2 linked regions of the Astyanax mexicanus genome follow. Each later gene encodes a partner of the first gene's protein in a complex. Links are inferred from orthologs where the notes say so. Each region holds a gene or a part of one and is shown on either strand. Other genes may lie near its edges.

The links.
Region 2: odad4 (region 1) and odad3 share a complex: the UniProt entries of both Homo sapiens proteins name them as parts of the outer dynein arm-docking complex. The link is inferred for Astyanax mexicanus from reciprocal best matches to the Homo sapiens genes ODAD4 and ODAD3.

What each region holds. Positions count from the first base shown.
Region 1 is NC_064426.1:25,917,653-25,921,800, reverse strand, and holds the start of odad4 (outer dynein arm-docking complex subunit 4), read left to right. Parts: upstream 1-1,130; 5' UTR 1,131-1,246; coding exon 1,247-1,363; intron 1,364-1,546; coding exon 1,547-1,678; intron 1,679-2,619; coding exon 2,620-2,773; intron 2,774-3,328; coding exon 3,329-3,387; intron 3,388-3,629; coding exon 3,630-3,777; intron 3,778-4,086; coding exon 4,087-4,148. UniProt on the Homo sapiens protein: Component of the outer dynein arm-docking complex (ODA-DC) that mediates outer dynein arms (ODA) binding onto the doublet microtubule. Plays an essential role for the assembly of ODA-DC and for the docking of ODA in ciliary axoneme.
Region 2 is NC_064412.1:26,045,299-26,048,898, forward strand, and holds the start of odad3 (coiled-coil domain-containing protein 151), read left to right. Parts: upstream 1-758; 5' UTR 759-868; exon of another isoform or gene 869-1,492; intron 1,493-1,569; 5' UTR 1,570-1,697; coding exon 1,698-1,782; intron 1,783-2,210; coding exon 2,211-2,332; intron 2,333-3,185; coding exon 3,186-3,260; intron 3,261-3,600. UniProt on the Homo sapiens protein: Component of the outer dynein arm-docking complex (ODA-DC) that mediates outer dynein arms (ODA) binding onto the doublet microtubule. Involved in mediating assembly of both ODAs and their axonemal docking complex onto ciliary microtubules.

The sequences.
Region 1 (4,148 bases):
TCCTTTTGTTCTTCAATGATCGAGGCCACCACAGAAAAGAGCAGATATTATTTGGGTGGTTGGATATTCTCTGAACTGCAGTGACACTGACATAGAGGAGTCATGTAAAGTCAGAAACATAAGCAACACAGACTTAAATGACTAATCACAAAAAGAATATTTTTTTCTGAAAAGATGTTATCCTGCTTTTGTTAGTATCCGTGTCTCTACTTTCTATAGCATTTTACCATATTTTGGAGCATAGCTGTGAGGACCTTCATACTCCTGCCCAAACCCTATACCACTGTGTTTTTACTGGACCCTTGACTTGGTATCTCAAAATAACGATTTGGTATCTCAAATAATAACTTGATAATGCAGAATAATTAAGTATCTCAAAATAATAATAAATAATAATAAATAATAAATCAAGCTAAATCAAGACTTTATATGTCAAAATAACGACTAAGTATCTCAAAAACGAGTTAGTATTCCAAAATAATTACCTAGTATCTCAAAAACGAGTTACTATTGTAAAAGTAATTGCTTCCTCAAAGTAACTGTTTAATATCTCAAAATATCGTTAATATTACAAAATACGACTTGGTATTTCTCTAACGACTTGATATGTCAAAATAATGACGTAGTATCTCAAAAACGAGTTAGTAGTTCAAAAATGACTACTTAGTATCTCAAAATACCGACTTAATAGCTCAAAATAATTAGTATCTTTAAAAAGTTAGTATTTCAAATAATTACTATCTCAAACTAACTGTTAATATCTCACAATAAATATTTTAAAATAATGACTTATTATTTCAAAATAACTGCTTGGTATCTCTAAATGAAGACTTGGTATGTAAAATAATGACTAACCACTTAGGTATGTCAAAATAATGAAATTATATAATATACTTAATAATGAAAGATATATGTTAAATTTTAGGTGACGAGAATGGCCATACATTTTTCTTTTGCCATGCCTCCCTAGCAATATTATTTCTGTATTGTGCAAACTGTTATGTGTATATTATTTAATATGTAATGTGTGTAAATATGCTTGGTATCGATAAATAAAAAACAGTATAATTAAATAACCGCTGTGGGGAACCGGATTAGCCGCTAAGCTAACACTAAAGTGTGGTTTTGTTAAGCGGTTGCTAGGAGACCACAGACGGGACAGTCCTACCAAACAGGCTAAAGCAGCCTAGTTTACTAACCTACCTCAGTCAGTCATTTAGCCCCGTTTAGCTGCATTTCAGCTAAAATGTCCGATAACGAGGGAGAACAGGGTCCTAAAAGCACGTTTTCTATCTATATAGCTGAGGGAGAGCAGCTGTTCAACAAAAGAGAATACACTAAAGCCATCCAGAGCTACTCTACGGTAAGTCCTCTCCGCTTTCCTTCTGTGGAAACAAATAACTTTTCTGTGTCCCGTACTGTGTCTTTCATATTTAACGTTACTAAATAAAGAAAAGGAAATGGATGCAGACGTATAGTTTGAATTGTTTAATATAACTACAGTTTGGTTTAAAGTACAGTAACGTTGTGTGTATGTGTGTTTTAGGCTCTGACATTACAGCCTGAGGACAAGAACTGCTTGGTTGCCAGATCTAAGTGTTATGTGAAATTGGGGGATTCTGAAAATGCACTGAAAGATGCTGAGGCTTCTCTCAAAGAGGATAAGAAATTTTTCAAGGTGCTATTTTCAGAAAGAAAAGTACACTCACACTACCGGTCAAAAGTTTTACAATAAAAAAAAAAAAAAACATTTTTCTGATTATGTTTGTTATCTTAGCTCTTCAGGTCCTGTCAATAACCAGAAATGGTACAAAACAAAAAACTTAATGAGAACCAGTTTCATCATAACATTTTTGATGGTCTTTACAACTGCACTTGAGGATACTTTCAAAGTTTCATTAAATATTTCAGATGGACTGACCTTCATTTCTTAAAGTAATTCTCTTCTTTAATTAGTTGAGTAGTTCTTGCCATACTATGTATTCAAGCATTATTTAAATAGAGCTATTCAATGTATACCAACTCTACCTCTTCACAACTTCACAAATAATGCTCTCAAACACATTAAGAGGCAAGACATTCAAGTAATTAACTCTTGACAAGTTCAGCACAGCTGTTAACTGAAAGCCATTCCAGGTGACTCTACCTCATAAAGCTGACTGAGAAAATCCAGCCAAGATGTGCAAAACTGTGTCTACCTAAGCAAGAAGTGCTTACTTTGAAAAATATAAAATATAAAACATGACTGTTTACTAAATATGTTTATCTTGGTAGTTTGGATGCTTTAGTATTAATCTACAATGCAGAAAAACACATCACTCAATATAGTTAAAAACGACAGTATATCAAATTCAAGGTCAAATTGGTAAAATGATTTCCAGATAAATTGCATGTAAATGTTTCACTAGTTAAATTAATTTGCATAGGTTTTCCTAATCTGGTTTAATTCATTTAGAGTTCTTCTAAACAAAAAACTTTAATTATATAAAACAGTATATAAAAGAATATTGCAGAATATTGTTGATATGATGAAAATAAAACACCTACATGTGATTTAAGAGTCATTGACCATCTTGGTTTTAATGTTGTCCTGAGCACATGGTTTTCTCGTCTTTCCAGGGTTTGTATCAGAAGGCAGAAGCTCTGTACACTAAGGGTGAATTTGAGTTTGCACTCATCTTTTACCACCGTGGTCATAAGCTGCGTCCAGAGCTGCAGGAGTTCAGGCTGGGCATACAGAAAGCTCAAGAGGCCATCAATAACTCTGTGGGCAGTGAGTACTTATAGACGGTTTTCTACAGTAATTCTCAGTGATGATGCACAGATAACACTGTTTCCTGTTACTGAAAACGACACAATGTGTCCAAATGTATATGCAAATGCACACACACACACACACACACACACAGCTTGTCTCAGTCTCTGTAAAGAAGTACTGCCAAAAGAAAAAAACGATTTTCTGCAGCAAAGAAAAGTGAACCGATTGGCGCCACACTCAAAACAAAACATACAACCGTTTTCTAAAATGATGGTGCCCCTCCATCCAGTACTTCAGGATGAGATGGGGGGTTAGGGAGGAAGTGGGATCATCAAACATCCTTACTAACCTTACTACTGCTCTTGTGGCCGAATGCAATCAAATCCTGGCAATTAAAGCTGAATAAATTATTTTTAATACCATTAATTTAAGAAGAAACTATATATGAGCATGTATTCCAATACTTTTGTCCATATAGTAAATGTGATACCTGCTTATAAATCCTGATATTTATGCCAATCATTAATTCATATAAATCTTCTAAAACAGAATACTTTTCTAATTTTTCAGGTCCCTCATCTGTGAAGCTAGAGAATACATCTGACCTCTCCCTGCAGAAAGCTGATGAGGCAAGTTCAAAACTATTTATCCTCTTCAGGCACTTCCAGAAGCTGTATTTTGGTGAAACTCATTATGAATTTCATTGTAAGATAATTTGGTTTCAGCTGTGAACCCTATTAGTGTACGGTCCTCACAGAGAGATGGTTTATATGCTAAAATAAATGACTAATTCATTACAGAATGTTATGTGGTTCATTATTCCATTTTACTTGTGTTTATTTGTTTGTGTGTTTTGTATTTTGGCTGAAAGCTGAAAAAGGTTCCACCAAAGCCTGTGAAGAAGGTGCAGCTGAAACAGCAGGCCCAGAAGACGGTCATGAGTGAGAGAACAGCAAGGCAGCTACTGGGAGAGCTTTACACTGACAAAGAGCACCTGGAGAAACTGCTCAGAGATGAAGGTGTGTGTGTGTATGCATGTGTATCGAGTTATCTGATTATACGTACAATCGTACTCTACGTTCCTATATCGGAGTAACAATTTCTCAGTGCGTGTAAACTCTTAATGGGTGGATTCCAGGATTGATTCTTTACAAGAAGGATGTCATCAACAATTTTGGCATACAGTGTAAAATAAGCTTTGTTTGGGTGTGAAAATGCTCAGATATCATTAAATATGCCTATTTATAATCCTGTAAGTCTTTAAAGTATGAAAGATGTGTTATTTACATATGTTTTGTTTATGTGACTTTTTTATATTCTCTCTTTAGATCTAATAAAAGGAAAGACACGCAATGGCGAGCGACTGCAGGATGTGATCCTGAACTGCATC
Region 2 (3,600 bases), on another chromosome or scaffold:
CTAATGAGCATCCTAAATTATGTATTTGAGTTTAGTTAATTCAGAGTTATTGCTCAGTTGTTCTATGAATAAAATGTAGTTAGCATCTACCAGCATCTATCTAAATAAAAGACATGCTGTGATGTTGTGGTTTGAAATGTCTGACTGAGCTTTATTCCCGCAGTGGAGGATCTAGAGCGGAATGATGGATCTGCAGAGAGGCCGTACCACATGTCCCCGAACCTCCTCAGCACCCTGAAGAAACCCAACGACAAGGTCAAAACTGCCTGGACCACCGAGTGAGAGACAGAGAGGAAGAGAAAAGGGAAGAGGGACTTAGAATTTCATTGAGAAACAAGGTTTTAGTGCAAAACTGGATTAACATATTTCATCCAGTCAATTTACTATGAATTATGACCAGTCTGCTTTAAATAGTAAACAGGGTAGCAGAGATTGTTACTGAGTTTTACAGTTAGTGTTATTGTTACTGAATATTACTTAAGAAATAATACAAGAGAGGGAACGCTATCACTTGTTATATTGGCACTGCTTTGCCAATATTACAAGTTATAGCATGAACCTTGAGTGTATTATTGCGATTATACCATAGTTTCATTAACGCTGTATATTGAAAGATTTTGAATTAAAGAGGAAGAGAAAAATATGATATGTTTGGTTATAAAAACTCCACGAGTTAAAATAGTTCCATTGCTGCTCTGTTTGTAGCTGTGCTGTTTAGCTGGTAAGCCCTGCGTTGTTGCTAGGTTACCTGTATGTGGCAGAGTAATAAATGGAGAGCTTTGGTTACAGTGCATTACCAGCTGATAATGGAACTCATAGAACACCTCTCAGCCAATCACACTGGGTCACAGGGTAGAAACTAACTGTGGTATAATGAATTTTACTGTTACTAAATGTAGCTAAGTTATTTTTACTGAACGTTACTGAGTGTTACTGTTACTGAATACTACTGAGAATTATTGTTACTGAATGTTACTTAGTGTTTCTGTTGCTGATGTTTATCTGCATATTTCTAAGGTCTGATTGGTCTGATTCGACTGTATATTTGAATTGTGGCATTTATTTACTGGTTTGTTTACAGGTTGTGTACCTTTTGACAGGTGTTAAAATAATGATGGTGCAATAATGAATGAACTCCAATCTGAATTTAACTTGTAGCAGCCTATGTGCCTTGCTAATTGTATTGATACTTCATTTCTGTGCCTTGATAATGTATTGATCATCTATGTATTACTGATGATCCGTAGAGGATTGATCATTCACATGTGTATTTATAAGATATTTATAGTATGTTTGGTTTGTATAGTTTCTCATGTAAATGGTTGGAAACCACATGTCAGAACGTATATTTGCTGGAAGGAAAGTGGTGTGTATTGATGAACTAAGATTACTGCAAACACAAAGTCAGCACAGCAAAGTATGGGTGTTTAGTATTATGTTGTATGATACATATTTGTCCTTCAATAAATGTCTAATAAATGTTTGTCCTTAATGAATCGTGTGCGATTCCTGAAGCAAGACACTCATTAGCTTATTGGCTTTGTCAGGACAATGTGACTGTCTTTACAGAGTGCTCCGCCTCTCAGCGGAAGTGGGAGTTGCTAAGCAACCAGTGTATCGTAGGAGAGGTAAACAGAGAGAGCAGAGGGAGGAACTAGACTTCAACATAACAGCAGAACTTAATAAAACTGCTAAAAATGTCGGCGCTGTTCAGCTCAAACTCTATCAGAGCTCCAATCCATGACCAGATCAGCGAACTGCAGAGGAAAATACAGCTCCTGGGTGAGTTTAGCAAGCGGCACATGGAACAGCTGCTGGTGACTGAATGACAGGGGATGTGATAATCCAGAGTGTTTTCATACAGAGTTCTCCAATAATGTAAACTACCTTCCACTACCAGATCAGATATCTGGCTATCTGAGAGAGAACTCTTCAAAGAGCCCTTACTCTCGTAATACCTCTAACAAACGAACTACTTTTACTAATTCAATTTCATTCTTCCCCTCCTTCCTCCTCTGTCCCACTATTCCCTTTAATGTCTTTTAGGCCCTGTATAAAATGTTTTTTCTGTTGAACTTCTATTACTCTAGGTGCATAATTATTGTACGTCGCTCTGGACAAAGCGTCTGCCAAATGTAATGTAATGTAATGCGGAGCATCGCTAATGAGTTTTATAGTGATTGAGCTGTTGTTCTGTTCTCGACCGCCAGAGGGCGAAAGAAGCGCGTTTTTTGAAAGTTCCGAAAACGCCATAAAGAAGAACAAGGAGACCATCCTGCAGCTGCGCGAGGAGAACAGGAGACTCAACATGAGACTGGCACACGCGCTCAGAGTAACACACACACACACACACACACACACTCCACTACTGACAGATATTCCATATGAAGACACACTCTGTGCTGTGAAGGGAGCTTCCAGTTCAGGGCGAGGTATTGGACGCCCTTGTTTGCTATCAGGCAGAAGCAGCTGAGGGAAATAGCTTGTATACAGTAGTGCGGCTTTTATTAGTAGTGCATTTTTTACCAAAGGTTTTCATTTAGACACGTTTGGGCACAAAAAATTCTGACCTCAGATCAGCTGCTTGCACTTTCAAAACAGTGACGTGTCAACCAGTTTTGGGACAATTATTTATAAATCCTGTATTATGTATTTAATATTGCTGAGTGTTACTTAGATGATAGGTGGAGTGAGTAGGGAGCAGAATGTGATTGGGGAACAATATACCATACACACACACACACACATTATACACACTTTTAGTAATACACAACTCACACCTTAATTCTATGTAAACGGGTTTAAAATAATTGTGTTTACAGTGGGACCCTGTTTGGTGCTGTAGATCCACTTTTTGTCTTTGCAGAACCATCTAGAACAGATTCTACATCATATTAAAGACCATTTTAACCAGGCAAAGAAACATTTAAGCATTTAAATGGTCTTTCAGGTGTCAGGAATTTAATAAAGACCCATTTTCTTAACAGAGAAACACTTAAATAACCCTCTTTGTAAAAGTGTGTCATATAGGGACACTCACACTACACACTGATAATGGAGACTGAACCTTTGTACACTGAACACACAAACAGTAAGAAACATCCACTCACACAATGTATGAAATATTACACCTGTACACTCTGTTCCGTAACAAGTTACCTGTATGTGTCTCTGTCTTTATCCAGGGAGATGAGCAGGAAATTAAAGAGGTGTTTCAGAGCCGCTCAGAAAAAGCTGCTTTCCGGAACATGTCCGCAAAGGTCAGAACACACACACACACCTTTGATTTGTATTAAACATATCAATAAAAAACAACTAGAGCTTGGTCAGGATGTGTACAGTATTAGTCAGCTTTGATACAGCAACTAACAGACACTCTGTTCTGACCAAGATCATATTCCAGCCTCTGATGATGAGCAGCGTGATCCTGGACTCAAACACGTGATCCTCGGATAATAGTGACAGCCTTAGTCTAATCTACCCATAAAGATTAAAGAGCATTTACCCAAAATGTTTTGTATATTATTTCCTCTAAGCTCCTTTCACATAAACCAAAAACAGTCATAATTCATTTCTACACCAATCTCTCTTTATCTTTTT